Tamandua tetradactyla: one gene and its partners. Each later gene encodes a partner of the first gene's protein in a complex. Links are inferred from orthologs where the notes say so. Each region holds a gene or a part of one and is shown on either strand. Other genes may lie near its edges. The genes, in order: SNRPD3, PPIH, LSM7 and PRPF4.

Evidence for each region.
Region 2: SNRPD3 (region 1) and PPIH share a complex: the UniProt entries of both Homo sapiens proteins name them as parts of the U4/U6-U5 tri-snRNP complex. The link is inferred for Tamandua tetradactyla from reciprocal best matches to the Homo sapiens genes SNRPD3 and PPIH.
Region 3: SNRPD3 (region 1) and LSM7 share a complex: the UniProt entries of both Homo sapiens proteins name them as parts of the U4/U6-U5 tri-snRNP complex. The link is inferred for Tamandua tetradactyla from reciprocal best matches to the Homo sapiens genes SNRPD3 and LSM7.
Region 4: SNRPD3 (region 1) and PRPF4 share a complex: the UniProt entries of both Homo sapiens proteins name them as parts of the U4/U6-U5 tri-snRNP complex. The link is inferred for Tamandua tetradactyla from reciprocal best matches to the Homo sapiens genes SNRPD3 and PRPF4.

The regions. Positions count from the first base shown.
Region 1 is NC_135331.1:25,394,335-25,401,573, reverse strand, and holds the start of SNRPD3 (small nuclear ribonucleoprotein Sm D3), read right to left. Parts: upstream 3,137-7,239; 5' UTR 2,514-3,136; intron 1,102-2,513; 5' UTR 1,084-1,101; coding exon 958-1,083; intron 1-957. Other genes in the region: protein GUCD1, read left to right, coding at 3,537-3,579, 6,988-7,072. UniProt on the Homo sapiens protein: Plays a role in pre-mRNA splicing as a core component of the spliceosomal U1, U2, U4 and U5 small nuclear ribonucleoproteins (snRNPs), the building blocks of the spliceosome.
Region 2 is NC_135328.1:182,093,786-182,100,950, forward strand, and holds the start of PPIH (peptidyl-prolyl cis-trans isomerase H), read right to left. Parts: upstream 3,216-7,165; 5' UTR 3,140-3,215; coding exon 3,074-3,139; intron 2,727-3,073; coding exon 2,662-2,726; intron 2,332-2,661; coding exon 2,308-2,331; intron 2,077-2,307; coding exon 2,032-2,076; intron 1,037-2,031; coding exon 994-1,036; intron 1-993. UniProt on the Homo sapiens protein: PPIase that catalyzes the cis-trans isomerization of proline imidic peptide bonds in oligopeptides and may therefore assist protein folding. Participates in pre-mRNA splicing.
Region 3 is NC_135337.1:80,542,371-80,550,294, reverse strand, and holds the start of LSM7 (U6 snRNA-associated Sm-like protein LSm7), read right to left. Parts: upstream 3,097-7,924; 5' UTR 3,073-3,096; coding exon 3,067-3,072; intron 2,985-3,066; coding exon 2,894-2,984; intron 1-2,893. Other genes in the region: SPPL2B (signal peptide peptidase-like 2B), read left to right, coding at 3,202-3,273. UniProt on the Homo sapiens protein: Plays a role in pre-mRNA splicing as component of the U4/U6-U5 tri-snRNP complex that is involved in spliceosome assembly, and as component of the precatalytic spliceosome (spliceosome B complex).
Region 4 is NC_135328.1:33,883,515-33,891,161, forward strand, and holds the start of PRPF4 (U4/U6 small nuclear ribonucleoprotein Prp4), read right to left. Parts: upstream 3,170-7,647; 5' UTR 3,031-3,169; coding exon 3,004-3,030; intron 2,272-3,003; coding exon 2,088-2,271; intron 1-2,087. Other genes in the region: anaphase-promoting complex subunit CDC26, read left to right, coding at 5,743-5,823. UniProt on the Homo sapiens protein: Plays a role in pre-mRNA splicing as component of the U4/U6-U5 tri-snRNP complex that is involved in spliceosome assembly, and as component of the precatalytic spliceosome (spliceosome B complex).

The DNA of each region.
Region 1 (7,239 bases):
TAGACTCCTCCAACAAAAAAACTCTGTTGGACCAGCCTTACTTAGAGCTGCACTGCGGTCCATACTTGTTCTGTTCAACCCTCCCTCCTTCCCCCCTCCTTTCCCTGGTATCAGACCTGTCTACACCTCCCTGCCTTTAATCCTCTATTGATATTTTCCCAAAACAAATCTCTTGCATGTCCAATTCTGTCTTGATGTGTGCATCTCAGAGTACCTGAAGTGAAATCATCTCCATTTTACAGATGAGGAAACTGAAATGCCCCAGGTCATACAATCAGGATTCAAAGACACATCTCTCACTGATTTAAAAACCCAAGCTCTTACTTGGCTGTTTAAAGAACAAAGAAACTGTGCTAGACACTTTGTAAAGTAACGCCATATAAAACCACATGAAAAATAACAAAATGCATACCAGGGACACAGGGACATGGAAGGGCACCAGGAGGCTGTTCTGCAATTTATTAACAGGGTGAAGTTCAGCAGACGAGTTCTTTAATCTCACGCTCCCTATTTTATGGATGACAAAACTATCACCAAATCTACCTACCTTACAAGGTAATTGGAAGAATCAAATAGAACCTCTTAACCCAGGGAAAAAAAAGGCAAATACACATAGTAGGTGAGTAGCTGTAGTTAGGGGAACATGTGGAGGGTAAATGGTCTCTTGAGGGGAGTAGTGGCACTTCTGTCAAACATGCCCCCAAGATATGGGAGAAAATAATTATGAGAAGGAGAGAATAGAGGACAAAAAGTTTCCAAAGAGCTCTTCTGCTCCAGACCATGATTGTCCTGTTCATGCCCACATCCCTGGCACCTCCAACAAAATGACACACGTTAAGTACTAAGTAAATAACTGCTGAATGAAAATAAATTTAAAAGAACCCACAATCATCACTCTTCTGTCCTCCAACACATAGGCCCAGGCTCCCCCACAACCTCAAGCGCCAAGCAAGATACCTGGCAGTTCATGTTGTCCTCTGCCTCAATGAGCTTCCCACGATACACCTCCCCGGTGTTCGTCTCGCATGTCACGATGTGGCCCTCAGCCTCATGCAGGACTTTAATTGGCACACCAATTGACATCTTGGAGAGAAGAGAGTTCTAAGAGCAAGAAAGAGAACAGTTAGTTCAACTTTCAGAGCTTGAGAAGGCACTGCAGACAGACCATGCCTCCCTCAAGACCTGGCACTCCAAAACGATTGGCAGAGATGCCAAAGCTGTTTTTCTTCTACTACTGAAAAAAGGAGCTTAGAGCACAGCTTGGAGGAGTCTATCCAGGAAGCACATGCAAGCTGGGTGATGGGAGAAATGGGGGGCTGAAAAGAGATAAGACTAGGGGAACGCAAAAGTACTTTCCATCTACTTTTCAGTATGGGGCATCTAGGGTACGTCCCTTTATCTTCACCAAAATAATCATTCATCAATATGGGAGTGGGGCAACTGCATATGCTGCACAATGCATCTGCCAACACACGGTTGTGGGTGATGCTTCACTTTGAGAACTATGAGCTGTCAGACACAATTGGCACTGTCAGCCCGTCACGATTTAAATTTAAAATTAACTGAAATGAAATAAAGTATATTCCTCATCCACACTGGCCGCATTCCACGTGCTTAACAGCCAGTGGCTTCGAACTGCACAGTGTGGATTTGGACCAAAGGATCCACAGACAAATCCTGGAGAGGAGGCTGCATTTTTAACTCAATCCACTGAGTATCTACTGGTGCCCCATTCACTTCACCACGGGGACTAAAGAGAAAACATTAAAGTGCTCACAAAATGACAACCTGCTTTAAACAAACAATGCTCATCTTAGAGGACAGAAAAATCAGGGCAAGGGCCTGGCTTGACCTAATTAAAAAAAGCAAAAACACCGGACTTTTTACTCTGAGGTGAGCAAAAATGAAGGTTGGAACACATCATGTGCATCCAAAAGAAAGCAAGGGGAAGGATGTACGTGGAGAGAAAAGGGGCCCTCAGGTTGGGAAAGATGGGCTCCCTGGGTGAGGACCTCTGAGTTTCAGCCTTAGGAGTTCGAATTTTGTGCTGCAGACAGCAGGGAACCAATTGCTGCAGGACGGGGGAAGGAATGACCCCATGAAAAGGAAGCAGCATTTACAGGATGAATTAAACATATAGCTCAGAAGCAGAGAGACTTGTTAAAGGTCCGGCGACAGTGTGGAAAGCACGAGGAGAAGGATTCGGTGCCTACCTTCCGAAAATGACTACGTACACGAGACTGGGGGTTGGGGGGAGGGGAAAACATTCAATTAGAGAGGATGTCGAGATTATGGCCTGGAGGCTTCGAAAACGATTGACTCGGATAGAAACAAACAAAATAAGCCAGAAAGCTGGGGAGAAGTGAACGCGAAGCTGACGCTGCGTGGCCCGGGTTTCCCGCTCTCTCCCCTCCCCTCAACCCTCGGCGCTTCTCGGCAGCGTGGCCTTCTCCAGCCCCCAACCCTCCCAGGGAGCCTCCGCCTCCCCTCACCCATTTCCAGCCTTCCCTCACCGGCTCCGGCCTCCGTTTCCTCCTCTTCTGTAACGCGGCAACTCGAGTGTCGACGAAGGCGTGAAGAGAGCGAATGGCGGGCCCCGCGCTCCCAGAATTCCCCGCGTTCCCAAAATGCCGCGCGAAGGGCCCGCCCCTCCCTTTCTCCAGTGGGGGGCGCGGTCCCGCCTCGGCTTCCTCCTCACTCCGCCGGCTGGGAAACGCAGGCTGTGGCACTATAGTTCCGGCCCCAGAAGAGAGGGGCTGATGACAGGGCCCGGGTGCCGCCGGAAACCCCGACCCTCGGGCGGGCCAGAGGAGAGGGCAGCTCGCGCTTCCAGGCACCCCGCATCAGGGACGCGATGGATTGCAAGGCGGGCATCCGGGACCTCGGCCCTCAGATCGGGGACGGCAGGCAGTGGAGCGGAGGGCCGGGACCTCCCTTCACAATTTAGTCGTTGGAACCTGGCGCCTCCAGGTAAGTGGCGCGAGGTATTCCATTGTACAGAAAGGGAAACCGAGGTATACAGTAGACTGCGGTCCGTCTGGGGGGTCTGGGCAGAGCTAGGTCTCTTGGAACCCCTGCGGCGCCCACCTGAGGCCGGCTAAGGACCGAGACCCGGCTGGGCGGGACTTGCCGCGCGGGCCGATGGCCTGGGCTTCGGGGGCGGGTCTTCCGGGAAACGGAGGCGTCGGTGTGAGGAGTGGGGCAGGGCCAACCAGCAGCCGAGCCTACGAATGGTCGAGTCGGCCGTAGCTCAACGGGCCGAAGACCTATCGGAAACCTCGGTGTGGGAAGGGCGGGGCCTCCAGGGGCACAGGCCAGGGCGGAGCCCCGGCGCGAGGCGGGGCCTCCCGGGAGGAGGCCTGGAAAGGCCGGGGCGGGGCCGGGGGCGGCCGGGCCGCCGCCTCCTCCTCTCCCCTCCGCCGTGGCGGAGGTGGCGGCGGCGGAACCGGGCCGTCGTGGGCTGCGCTCACGCCCCAGCCGAAGCCGAAGCCGCCGCCCGCGCCGGGCTGGGGCCATGGGCGTCCCGCGCCCGGGTCATGAGGACGGAGGCGGAGGCAGCGGGACCGCCGCTCGAGCCGGGTCAGTGCCTCCGCCCGAGGGCTCGGACTTCTCCCGGGGGACCGAAGGGGGACCCCGCCCCGAGGCGGGGCAGGCAGGGTCCGGCCGGGCGACCTTGGGCCGACCGCCGCCTGGGGTCGAGCATAGAGCTTCGAGTGAGACCTGTCTAGCTGGACACTCTCGCCTCGCCCCCCATCCCCGAGCCCCGAGCCCATCGGGGAGCCCTGATCTCCACGGGGCTGGGACCCCAGTCAGCTCTGGAGCGGCCCGTGGGGATTCCCGGGATATGATCAGAGGTGGAAAGCCCAGTGGGAGCCGCCTTGGAAGACCCTGTCCCCTGGGGAACTTGGAGGCAAGCTGAGGCCCAGAGTCGGGCAGGGAAGTGGCCAGAGAGGGCCGAGCTAGAGGAGGCCCCTTCACCTGGGCTCCCAGACCCCTGGGTCATCACCTTGTCTTGCTAGAATTTTTCAACCTCTAGTTTCTTCCTTCTGCCCCAAGACTGGCAGTTGGTGCCCTGGGCCTGGTTGGAGAAGTGGGGGAGGGGGAAAGGAAAGTGTTTGCAAACTCCAAGGATCATAGGAGAGGTCATGAGCAAGGGGGACCCTGACCCTAAGGTGTCAGTGGTGGAGGGGGGTAGCGGTGGCAGTCCCCTCTGGTGGCACCATGGAGCAGGGGGTCTTTTGCCCACTGGGATTCACATTGTCTCCTCTAGTTATCTAACTCTGCAGTCTTAGGCAAGACAGTTGCCTGTTCTCACCCTCAGTGGAGTCATGACTGATATTTGTAGGGGCTTCTATGAGGCAGGTACCATGCTAAGTTGTTTGTATGCATTAGCCCTCATAACAACCCAAGGAAGCAGGTTACTGTTACTATTTCCACTTCTGCAGATGAGTAGACAGAGGGTGTGAAGTTCGGCAAGTTCCCCTCCTCCCTTGCCAGGCCGGCCCTGGCTCTCGGGTGGCCTCCTGTGGCCCTCCCTGGGCTCCAGGCCTCGACATGCGGCGGCAGCGTGGGGCTTGGGCGGCTGAAGCCGTTATCGGCATGAAGGCCATGGCCTGCCTACCCTTATCATCCCCCGCAGGAGCCTCTCTGGGTCCCAATGGGCTGGCCTGCCCGTGCTAAGGCTGGGGGCAGCCCTGTGGGGGTGTTTGGTCCTGTGGGGTCTCAGGATCAAGGGGTTCTAGAGCTCAGGACAAGAGGACGGGGGGCAGCTGAGTCTCCAAGGGCCCTCGAGAGGAGCTGTGGGGTGCCACACTTGGCAGGTGGGCACAGGGGACAGAGTGACCGGGTTGAAGGCCTGGCCAAAGGTCATCCAGTGACCCCAGAGTAAGAAGACAGCTGCGAGCAGAGGGATGTGGTCTGGAAACTGGCGGGGGGAGAGGGGTGCAGGGGGGTGTGGTGCCGTGGTGACAGGCAGACCCGGGCATCTTGAGGTGAAGTCCTCACCGGAAATCACCCTCCACTCACCAGGCTTGCCTGAGCGCCCACCCTGGGCCGAGGCCTGGAGGGAGCAAAGCCACCCCCCTTTGGTGCTCCTGCCAATGCTCTGCATCCAGCGTTTCCGCCGAGGGGCCCAGAGAGGGATTCGAGCATTTGGACATTCAGAGATGGGAAAGGACATTCCAGGCTGAGGATCTACAAGGGGGAAGGCCAGGGGGTGGGGGCAGGTCAACCGCCTGGGTAGAGAAAAACCAAAAGGCAGTTCATGGTGACAGCAAGGTGTTCGTGAAAAGAGAAGCACCCCCCACCCCACGCCATGGTGGCACAGCACCTGCACCCTCCACTCAGGCAAACCCTTTGGGGGGATAATTCAGACACCTTCGAAGGTGTTGAGTTGTTGCTAAGCATTAGACTCTAGGGATGGAATGCCCCATCCAGAGGCCTGGTGCTGAGGTCAGGCCTTTGCTTGCCCAGGCCTGCCCCCGGTAGTCTTGCTGCGGCCCCTGTGAGCTGAGGGGTGGAGGGCAGAAAGCACAGTTCCCGTCCTGGGTGTGGCAGGGTGCTGAGGAGGTTGAGGGCATGGCCAGGTGAGGTTAGGACCCCCCACCCACCCAGGAGGAGGTGGCTTCTAAGCCAGGCCTCGAAGGCTGGGGAGCGGTTAGACGCAGGAGCACAGGAGCTTGGGGGCCCGCCAGTCGATGGGCTGCATAGGCAAAGGCAGAGGCTGGAAAGCCCAGGACAGGCTCCAGGACTAGCCAGTGACCCCTCCTGAGTGTGTAGGGGAGTGGGGCACTAGGACCCCCCATGATGTGGCATGGGACTGGGTTGCACAGCCCAGGAGCACCCCCCCAAGACCTTCAGAGCAGGCTGGGTTTTCATTTGCCAGGCGGGTGTCATTAATGAGTAATGTGGCTGGGAGCTGGCAATGGTGAGTTCCTTTTGGTTCTTTAGACTCTGACCTTAGTCCAAAGGAGGAGGAACCCATGGTCCTAGTGAGCCGCAGCCAGCTCACCGAGCCCAGCGCACAGCTGGTTCTCTGTCCACAGACCACCCTCTGCTCAGCCTCCGGGTCTCAGGGCACACATGGCACTGCTCCGGGCTTCCCCCAGACTCACCCCCTCCTAGGTACCCCTCACCGTCTCCCCCAGCCTAGCACCCGTTCTTCCCATTACCCTTGACATGGCCACCGAGCTCATTTCCGCTCTCCGGTCCACGTGCCAGGCACCCAGTGGGCTCTCGGGAAACATCTGTCAACTGAATGACTGAATCACATCCAAGTCCCACCCCAGTTCAGCACAAGGAAGTCAGCTGCCCACTGCACTGGCCGCCGGTGGCTGAGCCGCACCCATGGTGCCCAGCTCAGGTCCCTTCTGCTCCCCTCACTGCTGTGGTGAAGGTGGATCAGAGGGCATCCAGGGACAGCTGCAGGGCATCCCACCCGCCTGCTTTGTGGCAGGTGGCACTCGGGTGGTCCTGGGGCTTTGGTTTCAGGCAGTACCAGGGGCCTTATGAATCCAGACTTACATGTCTGCTGGGTAACCCTACGTGCCGGCCCTGGGATACAGATCAGAGGCCACACAGCCTGCTCAGGGCTCGTTCCAGGGGGCTCAGAGGGAGAGGTTTGGGGGGCTGTGCGTGCATATAATGGGGAGCTGGGCCCCACAGGGTAAGTGTCCTGTCTTAGCTCAGGCTCTTGGGCAACCAGGAGTGAGAGGGTTGGCTTGGTGGGAGCGAGGGTAGGCAAGGAGTCGTGGTATTAAGGCAGCAGCCACAACAGCACTCTCCCAAGAAGAGAGGGAACCCCCCCCCCCGTTGGGGGCCTGGCGTTTTGGGGAGGTCACTGGCTGTTACAGGGAGACAGCATGGGGGCTGAGGACTGGGCCCCACGCTGCCTCTGCAGGGTTACACAGGACTGATGATGGGGAAGCTGCTGGGGCAGCTGAGGCCAGGGTGGCCGGGGCAGCAGTGACTCCCTGTGTGTCCGTGCAGGGGACTTTGTGCAGCTGCCCGTGCCCGTCATCCAGCAGCTCTACCACTGGGACTGCGGCCTGGCCTGCTCCAGGATGGTGCTGCAGTGAGTGTGCGGCCAGCGCCTTGCCCTGGGCCGGGGGGTGGGGGGGCCCGGTGGGACTGCTTGTCCCCAGGGCGCTGCGGGGGGCCCAGCTTCCCCCCGGGCTGGTCCCCTCTTACAGAGATGGGCCAGGGGTCCTGCCGGGTGTCCAGGCCTCAGCACCACTGATC
Region 2 (7,165 bases), on another chromosome or scaffold:
TCATGTACCCCTATCTTCTATTTTTTTAAGAGAAAACACAACTCCAGAATTTTTGTGACATTTTCCCATTTTTACAACACCTTACAGATGAGACAAAATGCACCTGGAAGCACGACTTAGCCTAAAACTTACCCTTTTCCAACTCTACATCGGCTAGGAAAGAGGTCTTTAAAAACTCTAAATAAATACATGAAGAAAAAAAGTCTCCGAGATCCAAGAAAACAGCCATATGACTGTACAATGACCAAATAATATTAATATGAGTAAAGCAAGGCCATGAACATAAGTGGGTGGTTAAGAACAAACACAGGTTTGAGAAAGAAAAAAGGTGATTTATTTGGTACCCTCCAATGGGATGGGAGGGGGAGAAGCTTGATATAGAGGACACATACTGACTAGTCAAAAGAAAGGTGTGTTGATCAGTGAAGGAATATTCCACTGGGCTCTCCCAATGAGCAGAAGAAACATCCTTTCAGATCTATCTACCTCTCTTGTCCACTAATCAACTTCTGATTAAAAACTCAGGTTTTCAGGCACTGTGATACCAGGAATGGAAAGGAAAAAAGGACATAAGCATTCAATTTATTGGAAAAGGAGTTACTTCTATCCATTTTAAGGCATCTGAGTTCTAAATAAGCTTCATGTGACTTTAATTAGATGCCCCTTCCCCTCCCCATCACCTCCACCAGGAGAAAAGTCAACTAAGTCTGAGGGGATGATTAGAGCTGATCATCAATAGGTATGTTGGGAGAGTCCACTTTCTGGACCTAGAAGACAGAGGTTTGGACCATGGATGTAAGTCATTCAATTGAAGTGCTGATGTCCATCATCTAGCAGTAGTAGTGGCAATCCTGAATCACTATCCCCATCACTATCTCCCATCAAACTTAGCTATTGTTTCAAGACTTAAGACTTGGTCCCCTAGCAAAACAGAAGCAGCAGCGACAACAAAACAAACCCATAGGTCTTTGATAGGAGAGGAACAATACTTACATTAACAAAATCTCCACCCTGTATCATGAAATCCTTTATGACCCTGAAACAGAGGGAGCATAAAGGATTCTGAGAGATGATTCTAAAGTTTAGAAACATGGTTTTATCATTATAGTACCAGATTAACAATTTTTTTAAAAAATACAATACTTATCATTCTCGCTCACAAAATGATTACTCTCTCCTGGAAAGAGTGAGCTGAGAAGATTATTAACAAAAAAAGGAGTTTTAATTATAAATAAGAGCATCTTAGAGTAGACCGAAGTGCATGATCCAGTACTTGAATAGTAACAAAAGGAAGGGGCTCAAGCCCTGCAGGAAAACCACCAAAATAATCACCAAAGCAAAGGGTAGGTGAAGGGCTTGATGTAAATTGTGGGAAAAAAGAAAACGGAGAATGTATGTGAAATGCTAACCCATGAGCTATTATACACATAAGGGCTCAATAAATGTTAGATACTGTCCTGACAGGATCCTTAACCTTTCTTAGCCTCAGTTTCCTCACCTGTAGAATGTAGATAATAACACCTACCACCTCACAGTTGTGTTGTGAGGCTTTGGCCTCACAAAGACCATGGCTCTAAATGTCCGATATGCTAATATCATTACTAACCACAGTGAGGACTTTGAGGCAAATGCTAAATGAAACAAAGACACCTGAGTGTTACCACACTCCACTTCCATCTGGCCCAAGGAATTTGACTATCCTAAGGTAATCATACATGGTCATTTTTAAGAACTAGTTCTTAAATGTGGTATTTTAAAAATCAGCATTCATACCTACAAGGACATGAAAAAACAGAACATTAGAATTATGGGTAGCTGCTTCTTTTTGAAATAGCTTAAAAGAAGTAGTGGAGGAGTGTAAGTAGAGTTGGTATCTTTAATAATTCTTCAAATCAGTTGCTAAGTCAATAAAAAAATTTCTTCTCAAGATCCAAGAATTAGTTTCTGATTGTATTTTCCTCTGCCTTTACAGTCTAATGCCCCAAGGAAGTAATTCTTAAGGGCCCCAAGATGGCTTGCCAAAAAACTTACCTGTGGAAGGTGCTCCCTTTGTATCCTATTGGAACCCCATCTTTTCTATAACCAAAAAGAAAGAGATTTGGAATGACGACTGGCTATCACAGGCCATTCCAGTTTATCACACACTCCAATCAACAGGACTCTCCTAAAGAGGGGCGAGGAGAGATAAGGAAGGCAAATGACCTGAGATAGCCTCTTGGGCAATCATTCGATTCCCCAAGACCCTCATTGCAGCTCTAGGACACCCCTCAGGAACAGGAAGAAAAGTCAACCACAACTGAGACTGACCTGAATTCTCCCGTGCAGAACTGCCTGAAAACGAAAGGGTGAACAAGTCAGTCATCACATCATCACACATCCACGAAAACACTAATCTCGGGAGGGAAAGGCAGATATTGGAGCCAGCTATCCTAGAGCCAGCAAACCCGGCCAGAGGTCCAGGTACCGAGGTATGCAGATTAACAAAGTAAACGGACACAGGAACAATCAAATCGTTCTATTCAGACAAAACGATAACCAGAAGAATCATATGTCTCAAGGGCAGTGAATGGACAGAGACAGAGACACACAGACGTTTCCGCAGACTGACTTGGGCCCATCTTCGGGTGGGGGTAATCCGGTAGAGCTGGATCGTCTCCTTACCTAAAGTTTTCAGCCGTCTTAGGCACAACGTCTGCAAAGAGCTCAATCTTCATGCGACCAACTTCCTGCAACCAGCGGGAGATGGTCAGAGGGCCCAGTTTAAGACCATGATGGCCTCTGGGAGCAAGGAGCACGAACAGCAGGCCCACCTCCCCACCCGCGGTGCCGCTCGGTATCGCTCCCCCTCTGTCTACACAGCCCAACCTTCCGTTGATCCCAGCCCCTTCCCAATCAGGGGGTTAGAATCCGCGAGTCCTCTTCCTTCATCCTCCCACCAGGCAGGGTGGTAGGTTCTGGTCCTATTTCACTTTCTGGCTTCCCAAATCCGCTATCCCAGGCTTAAACAGTTCTGTCTGCCTAGCCCCGTGCAGTTCTCCTTCGGCGCAGGGCTCGGTGGCTCTCTGGGTCTCACCTGGCCGCCAATGCTGACATCAAAAAACACCACGGGGTTGACAGGGCTTGAATTTGCCACCGCCATGGCTCCGACCCGGAAGCAGAAGCCGGGAACGCGGGGTTCAGGCGAATCTAATCCCAGCCCTGCCGTCGGCGTCTGCGGCGCAGGCGCGGAAGAGGCGACCGAGGCCGAGACACGCCCCTGGAGCCCGCCCCCTATCCTGGTGAGCTCACTGGCTCCCGCGCCCAGACGTGTACCGATAACAGGTTCGCATTCTGTTAACTAACTTGGGTGTCCTGAGGGTTAGGGCAGGGGAGAAAAGCTGCTGTTTTTTTTGTTTTGTTTTGTTTTTTTCTGAATGTCCGCGGGCACCCGACTCACAGGGCTCTAAGTGCGGTACAAATTAGTCTCCGTTAGGCTAGGGGGTTTGGATTGAACAGTCTCCAAGGTCCTCACCAACTCTTGCAGCTGACTTCTGAACCTTCGCTCAGGTTGCTTCTTCCTTCTGACCACTAGTCTGTGAGCCCCATGAAGGCAGAGGCTCTGGTTTGTTCATCCTTCAGGCTTAGAACAGCTTGGCATATAGGACTTATTCAGCCCTTCCTTGAGATCGGGACACTAAAATTTTAGTTCATTCTGCCACGAGTTTACACTTTTGTACCGTCCAGTTCATTTCCCTCACAGCAGCTAGTGCTTTTAAAATAACTCTTCTGCTTAAAAACCACTCCTGGTTTCCCATCATATTTAGAATAGAATCCAATTCCTCCTACAAAGGCCTAAATTATCTGGCTGCCACCTACCTGGTCTTTTCTTGTACTACTTGCCAAATTACTAAGCTCCTTTCTGTTCCAAAGTTATTGAGATAGTTACTGTCTTAGGGTGTTAGGGCTTTGGTACTGCTACCTGCCTGAAATACTATTCCAGATCTTAACGGTGGGGACAGGGTATGCTCCCTGTAATTCAGGATTCAGCTGAGATATCACTTCCTTGGAGAGATTTTACACCCAATCTAAAGTAGCCATTGGTCAATCAGTGTATGTTCTTAATGCCATTCAGTATCTGAAATTATATTGTCTGTCTCTACATCTCACCTCCTGCCACACACACATTCGTTCCAGATAAGATATCAACTCCATGGAAGCACAGACTCTACTCGCCTGGCTGTTCACAGCTGTAGACTGCAGTGCCTACTACTGAATAGCATATAAGTATTCAATAAATAGATTCAATGAATTGGGTGAAGGAAGGTGACCTGGGTCAAGACTTGGAGTCTGTTTTAGTTTCCTGGGCTGCTCAAGCAAAATCATACAATAGTTTGGCTTAGACAATGGGAATTTATTTGCTCAAGGTTTGAAGCTGGGAAAAAGCCCAAATCAAGGTGTCATCAAGATGATGCTTTTTTTCTTCCTGAAGACCGTGGCATACTGGGGCTGGCTGTCATTAGCTTGTCACACAGCAAGACACATAGTGGCACCTCCTGCTCTCTGCCTTCTCTTCCTGTTCCATTGATAAGCAACTTCTCCTTTCTCCCCCTGTGGCTTTTTGTCTCTGTGCCTGAATTCTGCTTATAAAGTACCCCAGTAATAGGTTTAAGACCCATCTTGATTGGGCTGGGTCACAGCTTAATTGAAATAACCTCATCAGAAGGTTCCCACTCACAGGAATGGATTAAATTTGAAAACAAGTTTTTGTAGAGTAATTATAGCTTTAAACCGCTGTATTGGTTAGGGTTCTCTAGAGAAACAGAATCAACAGGGAACACTTCCAAATATAAAATTTATAAAAGTGTCTCATGTGACTATAGGAACACAGTCCAAAATCTGCAGGGCAGGCTGTGAAGCCGAAGATTCCAGTGGAGGGTCTGGACAAACTCCACAGGAGAGGCTCACCAGCTGAAGCAGGAAGAGAGCCTATCTCTTCTGAATCCTTAAAAGGCTTCCAGTGATTAGATTGAGCATCACTCATTGCAGAAGACATTTCCCTTGGCTGATTACAAATGGAATCAGTTGTGGATGCAGCTGACATGATCATGATTTAATTCTGTGAGATGTCCTCATCGCAACAGACAGGACAGTACTTGCCCCACCATACAAACAGGTACCACCACTTAGCCAAGTTGACACATGAACCTGACCATGACAGTCCACCCCTTGTCAACTTTGCAGCTCTATATATCACCTTAAACCATACCTAATTTCTAAATAAATTAAAATGCACATTTTTTTCTTTGACCTGACAATACTTAACTGTCCTGCATATAACTGGAAACACATTAAATCTCTCCAAAATAGGGTGCAAGTCCTTGGGTAATATTCATTCTTAAACTTGATAACTTACAACTTAAATAGTATAACATGAACAAAACAGCATTACAGTACTCGTTTCTGTAACTGATCACGTGGTCGTAGTTCATATTTATCACTACCTTCTTCCACTATCCATTCCATGTTCCCTTTACCCTCAGTAAGTACTTCATCTGGCCGTGGTTCTTCGCCTGGTGGGATGAACCAAACCTTCATTCCTGAAGTTTCAGACCCATTGGTAGACCTGCCTGGATTGGGCTGTTGCAGTTTTCCATTGATTTTAATCACAGGGTATGGTAGTACTAAAAGACGCCCTACGGGATCTCCCATATTCCAAGAAAACTCTTCTTTACCTCAATTGTGTAGTTGCAGTCCTATTTCCCCCTGATAGTCAGGGTCAATCACCCCAGACAGTAATGCAGTCCCCTTCTTGGCTTGCTGATCCAGGGGCATGAGTAGCCCAAGGTGACCAGGTGGCAGTCTTAGATTACAGTTCAATGGAATCATTATTGTTTCTCCTGGTGGAAGCACTCCCCCTTTTGAAACTAAAACCTGTATACCAGCAGAGCTCAGGGTCGCAGGGACAGGAAGCAAAAATTTTCCTAGTGGATCACTAGGGGTAATAGTGAGTGGTGCCACTCCCATTTCCACCCCTTGTTGATTCCTGGACCCATGGATCCTGGCTATGGGAGAAACAGCACCATACCGCGGATACTGATTCAGAGTATATACAGCTTCCTGGAGAACATTACCCCAGCCTTTCAAGGTATTGCCACCTAGTTGGCACTGTAATTGAGTTTTCAAAAGGCCATTCCACTGTTCTATCAATCCAGCTGCTTCTGGATGATGGGGGACGTGGTAAGTCCAGAGAATGCCATGAGCATGTGCCCATTCCCGCACTTCATTTGCTGTGAAGTGTGTTCCTTGCTCAGAAGCAATGCTATGTGGAATACCATGACGATGAATAAGGCATTCTATAAGTCCACAGATGGTAGTTTTGGCAGAGGCATTGCGTGCAGGGAAAGCAAACCCATATCCAGAGTATGTGTCTATTCCAGTTAGAACAAATCGCTGCCCCTTCCATGAAGGGAGTGGTCCAATGTAATCACCCTGTCACCATGTAGCTGGCTGGTCACCTCGGGGAATGGTGCCATATCAGGGGCTGAGTGTGGGTCTCTGCTGCTGGCAGATTGGGTGCTCAGCAGTGGCTGTAGCTTAGTCAGCCTTGGTGAGTGGAAGTCCATGTTGCCGAGCCCATGCATAACCTCCATCCCTACCACCATGACCACTTTGTTCATGAGCCCATTGGGCAATGACAGGAGTGGCTGGGCAAAGAGGCTGACTGGTATCCACAGAATGGGTTATCTCATCCACTTGATTATTAAAGCCTTCCTCTGCTGAAGTAACCCTCTGGTGCACATCCACATGGGACACAAATATATTCATGTTTTGCCCACTCAGAAACTTCTATCCACATACTTTCTCCCCAGGCCTCTTTGTTACCAATTTTCCAATTATGGTCTTTCCAAGTTCCTGACCATCCAGCCAAACCATTAGCAACAACCCATGAGTCAGTATACAAATGCACCTCTGGCCAGTTTTCCTTCCAAGCAAAATGAATAACCAGGTGCATAGCTCAAAGTTTTGCCCACTGGGAGGATTTCCCCTCACCACTGTCCTTCAAGGACACCCCAGAGAGGGGTTGTAGTGCTGCAGCTGTCCACTTTCGGGTGGTACCTGCATATCGTGCTGAGCCATCTGTAAACCAGGCCCGAGTTTTCTCTAGAGAAGGTAATGTGGCAGGAGT
Region 3 (7,924 bases), on another chromosome or scaffold:
TCCCAGGCTTATGGTGAGTGTCTTGGCCTGGGGCCTGACACACAGTGGGCCCCTGTGTGGGGCTGTACCCTTCATGGAACAGGAGCACTGTGGTAGGTGGGCACACCCTTGGGTGCGGGATGGGACCAGTGAATGTGATGGGAATGCCACTCCTGTGATTAAGTGATGTGATAAAGATGACGATATTTTGCAGACATAATTAAGGTCCCCAAATCCATTGACTGTTTTTTTTTGTATGCTATACAAAAAAAAAGAAAAATAATTTCATTCTTTTTCCATGTGAGTATCCCATTACTGTAGCACCATTTGTTGAATTTTTGTGTTTGTTTTGCTTGTTTGTTTGTTTTTTTGGGGGAAGTGCATGGATCAGGAATCGAACCCAAGTCTCCTGCACGGCAGGGGAGAATTCTACCACTGAGCTACCCTTGCACCCTCCAAAATCAGTTGACTTTTGAGTTAATCCAAAGGCGGATTAATTGGGGTGGGCCTGAACTAATCAGGTGAGCCCATAAAGGGAATGGACACTTTTTTTTTGATTAGAGAAATTGTAGGTTTACAGAAAAATCATGTACAAGATTCAGGGCCCCCATATATCGCCCTACTATTAATCCCTTCCATTAGTGTAGCGTATTGTTACACTTCATGAAAGACACTTTTATCTTGAAAGAATACTTTTATAATTGTACTAGTAACTATACTTGTTCTACGAGATTCTCCTGTTGGCCCTGAAGGAGCAAACAGCCAGGTGGTGGAGGGGCCACGTGGACTGGGAGCTCAGGGCACTAGACAGAAAACAGGGATCTCAGTCCAACAAATTCAAGGAACTGAATTCTGCCAACAACCAGTGAGCCTGGAAAAGGACCCTGTACCTGAGATGGCCGTGGTCCCACAGCAACACCTTGGATTGCAACCTTGTGGGAGACTCTGAGACAGAGGCCCCTGGACTCCTGACCTCCAGAAATGAAGACATCATAAATTTGTTGCTTAAGGTGCTACACTTGTGGTAATTTGGTACATAGCATAGAAAACTAAGGCAAATGTTTTGAAAAGCAAGAGTTGTATCTCATCCGTATATCCCAGTTCCAGCATAGTATAAATTGAGCCAACATTTATTTGGATTCAAATTCTATTCAAATTCTGCCAGGCACCTACTCTTTCAAGCGCTGTGTTTTCAACATCTCAGATGCTACCCAATTGCCTATACCTTGGGGAAGAAGGGATCAGGAGATCTGTCCTGTGAAATAAAGAAACTGAGGCTCAAAGTTTGCTGAATAAATGAAATGTGGTCAAAAGCTATGTCCCACACTACGCTCTGTCCTGTAACTATTTATTGAAGAGTGCTTTGAAAACTATTGCTTTTTTCTTTGCTTTGTATATATATTATACAAGAAAAAAAAGCTATGTGCTAGGTACCCTGCTAAACATGCCTTATGCCCTTTGATTATCACCACAACCTGATAAGGATTTGACAAATGAGGAAACTGAGGCTAAGAGAGGATAGTAACTTGTGCAAAGTCCCACAGCCAGCGCGTGGAAGAGCTGGGATTCTAACCTGTGCCATCTAATTGATGGGTTAGAACCAGAACCCAGAGTTAGACAGCAGAGCCACTGCCCACACAAGTTAGCAGAACTCGACTTGGTCCCTATCCTCAGGGCACTTACCATGTAGAATTTTTTAGATTCCAGTCAAAGAGTCAGCTGCAAGATTAAGCATCATATTAAGGAGCATAAACTCGCAAACTGTGATAGGCAACTACCAGGAACCTATAACCAAGGGCCTTGCCTGAGGATGGAGGTGGGCAGAGAAGGCTTCCCAGAGACAACAACCTTGATCTGGGAGAAAGAGAATGACTCTGGGAGTTATTCTGGTACAAACATTCCAGATAAAGAAAAAACACGTGCTTCACAGGTTGCACCCCCCCCCCCCCTTGCACGCCCCACCCCACAGGCCATTTTTTATCTTAAACAAAGAGGAGTCACCAGGGCAGGCCACCATGGCTCAGCGGCAAGAATGCTTGCCTGCCATGCCAGAGGACCCGGGTTCGATTCCCAGTGCCTGCCCATGTGAAAAAAAAAAAAAAAAAGAAAAAAAAGAAAGAGGAGTCAGCAGGGAGCAACTTGAGATTCAGTTTCTGTTTTTAACAGGTCCCTCTGCCCTCTGAGAGGAGACTGAAGGTGGGGCCCCATTCTCAAGCTGGGGCGAATTTGCCCCCCAGGGGAATTTGGCAATGCAGCGCAGTGATAGCTAGACTAGGTATTTGGTAGAAGTAAGACTCTGAATTTGAACAAATGTTAACTCAATCTACACCATGCGCCAGGATATATGAATGAGACACATCTTTTGCTTTTCAACACGTTTGTATTAGTTTTCAATGCTACATTAATTACCAACGACTTAAGACGTTTTTGGATGGGGGGTGGTAGTGCATGGCACTGGCATCGAATGGGTAGAGGCCAGGGATGCAAGTCAAAATCCTGAAGTGCCCAGGACCTATCAGGTCCCCAGGGTCAACTGCGGTGAGGCTGAGGAAGGGGGGGCATGAACATAGCCGGCAAACCAGTGAGGTGCTGGGGCGGCCCCCCCACCCCGGGGCGCCCCCCTCCCCCTGGCAGGAGATGGAAAGACAAGACCGCAAAGGAAGCGAGCTCGTGAATCCCGATCCTGGCCGCGCCGCTGTGACTTTGCGTTAAGTTTGTGCCTCAGTCTCCCCGTCTGCAAAATGGGCACAACAGTACCTACCTCCCGGTGTTAGGATTGAACGAGTTAGTCCATCTAAAGCGCTTAAAGCCGTGTCTGCTCATTGAACGAGCTGCCTAAGTGCAAGTTATGATAATTGATGTTACTATTTATTTTAAATTGTTCAAGGAGGGTGCTGGGTGGCGGGGTCCTCACCTTCGCGGCCTCCCTGAAACTTCACGCGGATCGTCTTGTCGATGTATTTGGACAGATCCAAAATGCTCTCCTTCTTCTTCTTCTCTTTGTCCTGTGTGGAAAGCAGACCTCGTGAGGCGGAGAGCGTGTCTCGGCCTCGCGCCGCCCGCCCCGGCACACCTCCGCGCGCTCACCGCCATCTTGCCGCCCCGCACCGCTCTGCGCAGGCGCGGCCTTCTGGCGCATGCGCGCCCCTGCGCCCCAGCGCCCCGGCGCCCCGGGAGTTGCCGGGAAACGTCGGCCGACGGCTGCGGCGGGGACCGGCTGACATGGCGGCGGCGGCGGCGGCGGCGCTGGCGCTGGCGCGGCTCGGGACCGCCTTTCTCCTTCTCGCGGCCCAGGTGAGGGCCACGCCGGGCCCGACAGTCCCGAAGGCTGCGGCTCCCCCCGTTCCGCGTCCCTCGGGCCCCTAGCAGAAACCCACCCGGCCCGGGCTTGGGACCAGCCTCGGGGACCCGCGACCCCGCGCTGGCGGCCCTCGGGGTCTGGGGACCGGCCGTGACCTTGCGGGCTGTTCTCTGGCCTGTACTCCTTCCCCGTCGAGGAAATCCTTCCCAGTTACAGCGTCACTCCGTCCCAGCCGGGGTTGTAGTTTGCGGGACCCCGTCCCTCCCTTCTGTACGGTTCCGCTTGTCGGTCTCGGAGTCACCGTCCGCCCCTCCCCGGCTGCGTGGCCTGGGGCAGGTGGCTGCCCCTGTCCAAGCCTCAGTTTTCCCGTATGCAAAAACGGGCATGATGCTAGCACTCCTCCCAGGGATTGTGGTCAAGGCAGGGCAGGACCGTAGGCCTGGCAGCGTCGGGGAGCGAATCCCCGCTCCCTTTTACTCTCTGACCTTGGACAAGGGAGTTCCCTCTTGGGGGTCAGTTGCTTGTCTGTAAAAGGGGGGATGAGAGGAGAGTTTTGTGGGTTCATTCCTATGCTACAAGGAGTGACCAGCCTGCTGGGCTCAGTATGTTGTTATTTAGCGTTAAGGGGCTCTGGTTCTAAAGGATAGAGTGGACAAGGAGGTAGCTGATGTGTATTGTCATAAACTCATCTTTCCAAACTCTCCCTTCCTCCCAAGCGCTGCAGCCCAGGCAAAAGTGCCCCTAAGAGCTCTCCAGATGCGCTGGTGGGCAGTTAACCTTGACTCCTCTCTTGCAATTCTAACTTAAAAGGTCTTTCGAATCTCTCTGCTCCTCTCAGTCTGCTTCTCTCTGCTGTAGTTCCTGTCAGATCTCCCTTTGGCCACTGTTGACTTCCCCCAGCAATCCCCTACCAAGCCATTTGCAACACAGCAGGAGCAATCTTTTCCAAATGTGTGTCAGCTCTGGTCACTTCCAGATGAGAGCTTCCAGCGGCTTCCTGTCTCATTGAGAAAGGCCTTTCTTTGTGATCCGGCTGCTCTGGGAACTTCCCTCCCTTTTCAGCTCTCCCTAATGGGGAGGCATTTATGGAGGACAGCTTGAGCTCTAGTCGCTTTTATAGCCCTCAAATACCCCTCCTCCACTTCTGGCCCTGCAAGTCCTGCAGTCTCACAAGTGCAGAGATACCTCTTCCCCAGCTGCTTCAGGCCCTCCCCTTCTTCCCCCATTGTAGCCTGATCACACTCTGTTTTCTGGCCTTCCTCACCAGTTCGTGAGCAATTTGAATAGGGGAATTTGAGCTCTGAAGATCTTCCCAATGAGAGAAAAGCAGGAAATGGGCAATGCATTATGGGAATGCCATGGAGGGGATGACCCGGAAAGGCTTTTCAGAAGCAGTGACCCCCTAGGAGTGTTTTGAAGGATGCGTAGGAGTTTGCCAGGTTGGGAAGGGAGAGGCTGTTGTAGGCAGTGGGAACAGTGGGTGAGAAGGCTGATGACTTATTTTAGGGACTGGTGAGGGGGCTTGCTATGTTTGGTGCATAGGGTGGTATAGGTATGAGGGGAGCTCACCTACCCCCCCTGGAGGAGGTGTCGCTGTGAAGGAGGCACAGATGGACCTGGAATGGAGGAAGGGAATGGGGTCCCCCAGCAAAGCTGCAGGCAGAAGGCACAAGGCAGGGCTGGAGTTCAGGGCATGGGCCAGACAGGTTAGAACCAGATTCTGAGGGCTCTTGTTGCTGAGGTGTTCATGCTTTGCCCTGAGCATGGGGAGCCCAGGAATGCTCCTGAGGAGTGCCAGGGGGACGTGGCCCTACCCTCCCAATAGCCTAGTTGCAACAGGCATACCAGGGAGCCCATGCTGACTGCGGCTCTGGGGCTCTGCCCACTTGGCTTCTGAGTCAGGGCAGTGGAAGCGGGGGTGTTTGAGTCCTGACTCCCAAGACTGGCTGTCTTGGAGATTGCTTGATGATGATCCCACATTCACTTGCCACCATTTGGTAACCCTGGACAAGTGAGTCGGCCTCTCCAGATTATATCCCCCTTCTCAGTAACAACAAAGCCTGTGAGAGGAGATGCAGAGGCCTGCGGGGCTGGTTACTCAGGCCTGAGTTGATCAGAGATCCCCTCTGCAGCCCCCACAAGCTCCCTTTACCACCCCTCTGTAGCCCCCTCACCCCACATGGACCCTCCACAGCCCCTCCTGCCCCTACCTCCCCCCTCCAGTGTCCCCCTTCACCCTGCCACCATGACATCTTTTTCCAAAGTTCCTGCATCCTTGTTTTTCACCCTTTCCTGAAATATCTCTTAGAAGGAGTCCGCCCCATAGCCCTGATGCATCAGTTTTTTTTAAAACTCTCCTGAGGCTTATGTGTCCATGGAGCCGCTACAGAGCCCCTGAGTGTGTGTTAGCTGTGAGGTGTTGGAAGGCTGTCTGTCTCGGTTCTCCCAATTCAGAATGATTGTACGAGAACTCAGAATCTGCATCCTTTTGAAGAACCTTCCCTGGTTCTTTTAGCTCAGCAGGTGAGAAAAACTATTCAAGGCAAGAGCTTGCCTTCTCTGAGGTTTGATAAAATCACAGTTTTTTTTTTTTTGAAGGCAGTTCTTCAAATTTTGGGAAGGAGAACCTGTGAAAGCTGTTTTGTATTCTTAAGTCACCTTTTTCGAAGGAACAGTTTCTATCAATTTTCATTTTACACAATGAAAGCTTTTCCTCTAAAAGCCCGTATCCCACAAAATGGGCGTCAGCAGCTGTGTCTTGCGAAGCGCTCAGCAGTGGATACTTTGGGTGCCATACGTCTGCATGTGCCCTGTTACAGCCGCTGGACTCTGCTTTTGCATTCAGAAGCAGTGAGAGGGCGTGGCTGTGTGCCTGTAAAACTTTTATTTACAGAAGCAGGGGGCTCTGCATTTGGCCTGTGGGGTGTTGGTTTCTGACCTCTGCCGAGGAGCAGACTTGCTGACAGCAAGGCCCTGTCTGTGGCCGTGACCTACTTGAGTGGGCATCTGGCCAGCACAGACTCCGGGCCCCCTGCTGTAGAGGGGTGGCCTCTGGGGCGAGTCTGGGAGGAAGGGGCTCCTAGTTCTGCCTCAGGGTCAAGAGGTACCCAGTGGTTTGCCAGTGGGAGAGGCTGGGGGAGTGGGAAGCCACCTTAGTGCAGCACCCCTGTCCACAACTTCAGGCCCTCCCTTCCCTCCTGAGGCTGCAGGGATGGTGGCCCCCTGCCCAGCTTCTTCAGGGCAGGGCACCTTCAAAACTCAACTTCTCTGGGTGTGCCCCTGACCAGCACAGTGAGGATGGGCCTGATTCTCATTTGATGGCTGGCACCAGGGGTCCGGCTCCTGCCTGAGATGACAGAGAAGGCACTGCGCCTGAGCTGGTGTCTGGGGTCCCTGTAGCCCCTCGCTTGGGGCACATGGTCAGCAGGCTGCTGGGGAGGGGCCAGGCTTGGGCCTGGGGCTCATGTGTGTGGTCTTGTGGGGCTTTTCCTCTAAAAGCCCATATCCCACAAAACGGGGGTTGGCAGGCATGACAGGAGGAGCTCCCGATGTGATTTTACTGAGTCCCGGAGCCAGGGGCCCATGTGCATCAAGACCCCTGGTCTGATCCGAACCCCTCCCCAGGCCCGCTTTGCCATGTCCCTTGAAGGCCCAGCCCTCCTTAACCTCCAGGAGCCTCCTGTCTGTGTTCCTATCCCTTGTATGTACCTCAGGTGGGCAGTTGCTGGCTGTTTGTACCTGGGCAGGTGCTCAGGGGGACCCAGAGGACCTTCCTCATTGCTGGCCCTTTGGGGCCCAGCCAGGCTCTACCTGGGGATTCTTCAGGGCAGGCACTAGGAGACAGCCAGGGCTGGGGAGGGCCACCTTGGGGGATCCCCGCAGTGTCTAGCATAAGGCTTCTCTCCTGGGATCCCTCATCCTACTGGTAGACCCTGGGGAGCTGCCCAGACCGAGAAGCTCCCCATTGCAGGTGGGGCTAGGGGCTCTGTGGGCTGTTTGGCTGGAGCCGAGTGTGCGGAAGGGGAGTGGGGAGGAAGGTTGGAGGGGTCCCCAGGCACCTGCTGCTGTCAGGGGAGGCCGGGGGTGGGGAGGAAAGTTGGGGGTGGTCCCCAGGCACCCACTTCTGTCAGGGGAGGCCAGGGGTGGGGAGGAAGGTTGGAGGGGTCCCCAGGCACCCGCTGCTGTCAGGGGAGGCCGGGGGTGAGGAGGAAGGTTGGAGGGGTACCCAGGCACCCGCTGCTATTAGGGGAGGCCGGGGGTGGGGAGGAAGGTTGGAGGGGTCCATAGGCACCCGCTGCTGTCAGGGGAGGCTGGGGGTGGGGAGGAAGGTTGGAGGGGTCCACAGGCACCCGCTGCTGTCTGGGGAGGCCGGGGGTGGTGCAGTTCAGGCCGTGGAGCTACTGCAGTGACCAGTTCCCACTCCGGGAGAGCTGAGGCAGGGACAGCGTCCACGGCCTGCTGTTCCCTATGAGCCTGGAACGATGAGATACTGTGAAGTGCTCACCTGTCTGGAGTGGAAGTGCACCTGCCAACCTTGTCCCCGAGGCAGCCATCCCGGCACTGCCCCTTCTTGCCGCACTGGAGGCGTTTCCAGTGGCCGCTTAGCCGGGGAGCTGGTGTCACCACTAAAGTGAAGTGCTGCTG
Region 4 (7,647 bases), on another chromosome or scaffold:
GCCCCTAGGGGAAGGTAATAATCGAATCTATTTTGTACTTTATAGACATAGTTTATTCCTTTTCAATTTATTAAATTATGCCCAGCACATAAACATAATGAGACGGTTTTAAAAGGCAGGAAAATGGTTCAAGCCACCCCTTATTTCATCTGGCAACCTCAATCTCATACCTAACATAAACACTTACCTTGGATGAGATCAGAAAGTGAGAGTATAGACACTTCTAGCAAGTGAGTTAATTAACTAGGCTTTCTATCCAGAAGACAAAAATAGAAATGCTATTAACAATCACCAAAGCTATTATCTAAAACAGCACCAGTATAAACACACTTACAAATGTTACTAGTCAAGTGAAAACGATATTTTTGTGACTTTAAGGCTTTTTGGATAACTGAGCAACTAGTTTTAAAAACCACACCAAATATGAGCATTTGGATACAAAAATGAGAGGTACAATGATGAGGCAGTTAAGTTTAAAAACAGTAGTAAAGGTTAAAGTTGCTACACTAAAGGGCATGTGTGTAAAAAAACATGTCTGGGAGGATCAACGAAGTTCTTTCACATGTACCCTAGAACAGTCAATGTTTAATCCTAATCCCATTCTGTAAAGGCAGTCGTTTCTTCTAATCCCTATTCAGTACTGTATGTTTGAAACTTAAATTAGATTTTTCCCATGGAGTTGTGACTCGATCAAGAGTGGTTGTTAAACTAGATTAGGTGGAGATGTGTCACCACCATTCCATGTGGGTCTTGATTAGTTTATTAGAATCCTATAAAAGAGGAAACATTTTGGAGAAAAGGGGAGATTCAGAGCGAGCACAGAACAACGCCCGAGTCACGAGGAAGCCACAACAGAGAATGCCACAGAACCACAAAGCAGAGAGCCCTCCAGCCAGTGACTTTTGGAGATGAAGGAAAACACCTCTGGGGAGTTGGAGAGGCGACTAGCAGATGCTGCCGTGTTTGCCAGGTGCCCTCCCAGCTGAGAGAGGAACCCTGACCGTGTTCGCCATGCGCCTTTTCACATGAGAGAGAAACCCTGAACTTCATCGGCCTTCTTGAATCAAGGTATCTTTCCCTGGATGCCTTTGACTGGACATTTCTAGGGACTTGCTTTAATTGGGACATTTTCTCGACCTTAGAACTATAAACTAGCAACTTATTAAATTTTCCTTTTAAAAAGCCATACTGTTTCTGGTATACTGCATTCTCGCAGCTAGCAAACTAGAACACCTTCTGTACTGTTTGAATTTCTTATGACTAATGTATAGTTTTATATTAAAAATATAGTGGATTTCTACTTACCTACATGGATAGACATGTAGACTGAAAAGCACAGGTTACAAAACATTTTGCATATCATGGTTTCATTATGAAAAATAAATATGTTTTTATAACTACTAAAATTCTCAGAAACCAATTAATAAAGATTATAAAATTTTCTACACTAATTTTTTTTTTTTTAACATGGGCAGGCACTGGGAATCGAACCCGGGTCCTCTGGCATGGCAGGCAAGCATTCTTGCCTGCTGGGCCACCGTGGCCCACCCTATACTAATTTTTTTAAAAGAAAAAAATAACTTTTATAATTAAGATATTTCATGAATACACAAATCTGTGATGATATTGCGAGCCACTGAGATTGTATACCATGTATGGACTGTATGTGTATGAAGATTTCTCAATAAAAATATTTAAAAAAAAGAAGATATTTCATTTTGGATGAAAATTTAAAAAGGGGGAACATATGAGCCACAGTTGCTCTAAATTGATACCTGAACTATGCTAAATCTCCAGAAAGCAAAGGGAATCAATTTGAATCCAAATACACAATGAATAAATTCATGATAGAACTACTAATAATTCATGGAAGAAAAATGGCATGAAAGGCTGTAAGAAAAATGCCCCCTGGATGATGGTAAAAGGGGCAGGCAAAGTATGGCCCTAGACATGCAAGTTTAAGAGCTGAAATTTTTTGATACTGTAAAACTAGTGATCTAGGTCTAGAAGGTAAAATTTGTAGGTCTAAGCTATTTCAGAAAAGGTGAGCATCAAAGATAAAGATGAACTCACAGTTTGCATCTTACCAGAGGTTATGTTAATATTTCCTGCTTCTATTCCTGCTTTAAGTCCTTCTTTTCCCAAAATTCCAGACTCTCCTTTGGCCAGACGCTCTCTCTCCTTCTCTTCCAAACTTCCATAATAGATGTGAGGTTTCTTTACAACAGGGGCAACTAAGTCATCAGATGCCTTTGATGTTTTGGTTGCCTGCTAAATCAAAGAACTGGATTAATTTAAGGCTTAATATTAGCAACCTATTAGGATTCCCAGGATCTTATTCTGAACGTCAGTCTTATTTCCTCTCCAAATAAAGGGACAAGTTGGACACCAATTAAGATATTCCTCCCCAATTTGGGGGCATATTTCGGTCCCTCAAACACTGAAGTTTTGCAGACAGGAAGAGGTGGATAAAGTTAGTGAATTCCTCTTGGAGATTTTTCTATTAGCAGTTTGCAGTGGAACCTGTTCTTTCGGCTGCAAGTGCAATCTCTTCTTAGGTTTTAGAATCCGTCCTTGATTATTGCTCATCACGGGGAAATGGCAAGAATACTGAAATCCCAACCATGGCATAAGGGACACAAAGTTACAATGTTCCTGGTGTTTATACCTCAAACGTTTTCGGACATGAGGCAATAGATTTGGAGTCAGAAAGCCTCATTTCAAGTAACAGGTCTACACAGACGTAAATCTTCCTGTTTCAGGTCTCTGTTTTTGGACCAGTGTTGGAAGAAGTGTTTACCGTTCGGGGATGTACAGAGAGAGGTGCAAAAGAGCTAAGGCATAAAGAGTACGTGCTTAGGGACCAGTCAAACTCTGCGATGCTCCCGCAGCCTGCCTTCCTCAACCCTCTACCACCGTGGCCCGTTCCCTAACGGTCCATCCCGCAGAGACCACACCCCTCTCACGCTTCCTCCCGGGGAGCTGAGATCCCAAGTTCTGTACCGTGGAGGAGGCTCGAGAGGAAGCCATGCTGGATTCGGAAGCCGCGAAGTTCCAGCGAAAACCAAGATCGGCGTTTCAGCCAGTCCACCGCGCGCATAGCAAAGCGGAACTGCGTCCCGGGCAGGAACTGAGCGCACGACCGACGCTGCGCCCCGGATCGGCGCGCGGCATGATGGGAGTCGTAGTAGGACAGATTCAGGTCACGTTGAGGGGCGTGACCCGTAGAACCTCCGAGAAAAAAACGCGGGAGTCGAGGATCTGCGGGAGAGAGGCTCAGAGGACTCTGGGAAGTGTAGTCCTCTTGGCTTGGCGGTCGATTCCGGTGGGCGCAGAGGTTCCCGGAACTGTCACGAGCTGATCCAACTTGCAAAGAGGTAGGTGCGTCGAGTGGCGCAGCTCCGGGCTGAACTCTGGAGCGAAACGAGGGCTTCCAGGGCCCGCAGTGCCTCCCGGGCGTAGGGGAGACTTTACTGGTCCTGGAGGGGAGGACCACGTTGTCATGGAAACCTTAGCTCCGGACCCCTGGCTTTGGGGAAGGAGGGCTGTTCTCGTCGATCCAGAAGCTCTCTCAGGGGCTCCCTCCGGACTGGGTAAATTTGTAGCGGATTTGGGCAGCAGCGGGAGATTGAGCTCGAGGAACCCTCCAGTCCCACAATAAAATATGGACCCGGCCGTGGAAACACGGCCTGATATTGTTGATTTTCAAACGGTCTTTGTATCAGATTAAGAGTGAGATGATGGTTATGAAGGCGTCAGGTAATCTGTACACAAGAAACTCTAAGCACGGCCCTGTGCCCAGCTGGAGTATCAGAGATGAATAACACAAAGTTTTTGCTCCCAGTTGGGGTATGACGAGCATTCTCAAAATATCGGTGTTGCTCGAGTCGGACTGAGGCGCTCGCCTCCCCACTAAGAAAAATATTACAATAATAACAACAGCTTATTTATTGAGCATTTAATAAATGCCAAATTATGTGCCAGGAGCTTAATCTGCATTAAGTCATTCAATTCTTACAACAGAGTACAGATACAGATGAGGAAACTAAAGCCTAGTAGGAGATGAGGCAGAGACCAGTGGGATTTAGAACCTCTGTCTTTTTCGCCTCCAGTCAGCGCTTTTACCTACGTACAATATTACTCTCTACTGCCCCCTAGTGGCGATCTTTTCAGTTTGGCGAAAAGTCAAACTACATAGCAGTTTTTTCTATTTTAAGTATTCACGCCTTTATGTTGTCTTTGGAAGTTTGGCTTCTTCTGCCACTTGCTTACATTGGAATCTGGTAGAAAATAGTATCTTATTTAGTAGAAAGAAACTTGAAATGTAATGAACCAGCGTTTTGTACTGACCGTAACTTTTACCTGTATCTGCCCCACTCTTGGTGGGAGGAGTGAACATTTCATCCTTCGTGTATGTCATAAGTCCCTAGTTACATCCGAGATACATGTAATAATGATTTATATTTGTACTTTAAAATGCCTTTCGCTTACATCATTCTCATTTAGTCCTCACGCTGTGATGTACATATGGTTATTATAGGAGGCTGACGTTGTTAGCTAAGTTGAACAGCTTGCTTTGACTTCTTATATTCAAAATAGGGATAATTTTTCCAGCTTCATGGAGTTTCAGTGGAGATTAAAATAAGAATGTAAAGAATGATCGTGGGAAAACTTAGCATGGTGTGTAAGAGAAGTTCATTTCCTTTCTCTCTTTATTTGGATCTCTGATTTTATTCAACAGACTTTTACTGACTGTGTTATTGAGTGCATCCATTAGATACTCTCTGCTGGATACTGTGGATAGTAGAAAGATCATCAGAAGTTAAACTCAGTTGGGGAAGTTTGGTATCCTTCTCAAAAAATGTTTGTTACTTTGTTAACACAGCATTACTTGGGTTCTCAGACTATAGATGCTCTCTTGAAACTCTTTGCATACTTGTTCTCTCTGCCTGGACTGTCCTTAATCCCCTTTCTCTGTCTGCACTTTAGAAATCAGTTAAGACATTGTCTCCTCCAGTAAGCCTTCCCGAACATCCCTGTCTACTCTACGCTCAGCCCAGCCTGGATCAGTTGCCTCTGTGATGCCATTTCATTACTCTCATCAGAGTCCTTATTTTATGATATGATTATTTCCCATTATGATTCCCATTATGATATGATTATTTCTCATTGGTTTTCCTCACAAACTATGTGTTTGCTGAATGAATGACTTACCCATTTAGACCCTGAGGATAACCCTGTCAATTGGTGAGTTAGAGGAACTTTTCATGAGATTTAGCAAACTGATTTTAGCATTCAGGACTGATCACAAATCTCCCAATAATTCTCATGTAGAGTGGATTAAATTTAATGGCTGTTCCACTTTCCCTGTAACTATATTGAATTAAGATGTGACATTTCAACTTCATTCGTATATTTCTTTGAATGTGATTGGAGTCTGAGATTAAAGTAATCATTGCCTAGAATTCTCTCTTATAGGCCTGCTATTTTAAGTTCTTGAAGAGTTTTTAGAAATTACAGAGTTGTGGTTTTCATCATGTAATAAAAATGTAAGCCATACATTTAAAAACTGAGAGGTCTGTGTGAATCCAAATGAGTCTTTTTCACCACATTCACTTTAGGGTTTGTGCTTACAAATTGACCTATGTGTGTGGCTGAGACTTATCCTCTCCAGATTTCCTCTTGTCTATTATTTTTAACAGCTAATAATTCACTGGTTTGGCCCTTAGTGTTGATTTCAGTATGCTGCGACGAAAACCAACCCGCCTAGAGCTGAAACTTGATGACATTGAAGAATTTGAGAGCATTCGAAAGGACTTAGAGGTAAGAGTACAACCTTCGACTCCTTAGGAATATTTAAAAAGATAACTAACTTCAGAACCTCAGACTTAATACCAGTAGCTTATTTGAAATCTCTCTGTGGATGCTTTCTAGGCATTTCAAACTTGATATATTAGTTCCCTAGGACTGCCATAACAATTACCACAAACTTGGTGGTTTAAACAACAGAAATTTGTTTTCTCACAGTTTGGTGGCCAGAAATCTGAGATTAATATCACTGGGCCAAAAACAGACTGTTGGCAGGGCCATACTTCAGAGGATATAGGGAAGAAGCTGTTGCGTTCTAATTCTAGCTTTTGTTGCTCTGGCATTCCTTGACTAGTGGCTACATCACTTCAATCTCTGCTTCCATGGTCACATTTCCTCTTCCTCTTCTGTGTGTGAAATCTCCCCCGCCTCCCTTTATTGGTTTGCTAAAGCTGCCAGAGTGCAATATATCAGGAATGAAATGGCTTTTAAAAAGGGAATTTATTAAGTTGCAAGTTTACAGTTCTATGGCCATAACAGCGTCCAAACTAAGGCATCCTGAGAAAAATAACATGACTCCAGAAGGGGCCGAAACATTCGGTGTTTCTGTCAGCTGGGAAGGCACATGGTGACGTCTACTATCTTTCTTTACCTGCTTCTCCTCTTAAACAGCTTCCCTGGGGGTGTTTTCTTTCTGCATCTCCAAAGGTCTGTTGTCTGTGTCAGCTCTGATACTTTTTCCAAATGGTTCCCTATTAAAGGACTCCAGTAAACAACCCCACCTTGAATTGGTGGAGACACATCTCCATAGAAACCACCTAATCAAAAGGTACCACCATAAACAATGCTGAATCAGGATTAGAGAACATGGCTTTTTTGGGGTAAATCACAGTTTCAAACTGGCACATTCTACTCTCTGGATCCCCAAAACACATATCTTTCCATGTACAAAATACATTCATTAATTATAATATCACAAAGTCTTAAACCATTTTAGAAACAAGACAAATATAATACAAAGTCAGAAGTAGTACAAAATCTCATAAAAGTCAGTTACAGGCAGGATCTATTCTAAGGCAAATTTCTCCTCTGGCTCTGGACCTGTAAAACTCAGAACAAGTTATCTGCTGCCAGTATACAAAGGAAGGACAGTTGTAGGATAAATATTGCCATTTCTATAGGAAAAAGTTGAAAAGAACACTGGGCTCACTGGACCCAAACAATTCTATAAACCTGCAGGGCAAACTCCAGTAGATTTCAAAATCTAAGAATCATTTATTGTTGGGGCTTTAGAAAGTAGCAGTCCCACCCTTTCCAAGGGCTATACAGCAGCCCTGCTATTTTCTCAGCTCCACTCTCTCCAAACATTGGGGCAGCACCTTGGGCTCTTTGCCATCTCCAAGGCACATGTGCAACCCCCTAAGAACAATAGGGAGGCAGCAAAATTCTTCCTAATCCCCGAAGAATGTGCTCCACCCTTTCTGAGGCCTGAGGCACCAAAACTCTTCTTGAACATTGAGGAAGACTCACCCTCTGCCTTTGGGGCAAACTCACACTCTCCAAGTGGGTCTGCTTTCCTGGCTGCAGATCTTAGCTTCCATGATTCTGCCATTGAAGTTATTTTTCCTTCAATTTGTCCCTTTTAGTCCACACTGGCAGTGGTTCCTTTTATATAGATCCCACAACACTCTTGTTGGTTTTCTATGTAGTATGCAGGGATCATAACCATCAGACAATAGGACTTTCCATAAATCCTTTCTGGATAACTCCATCTCAAATTCTCACTTGTCTTGTAATCACTGACTGCTTCCATATTTGGTTCTATGGGGCACTATTCTC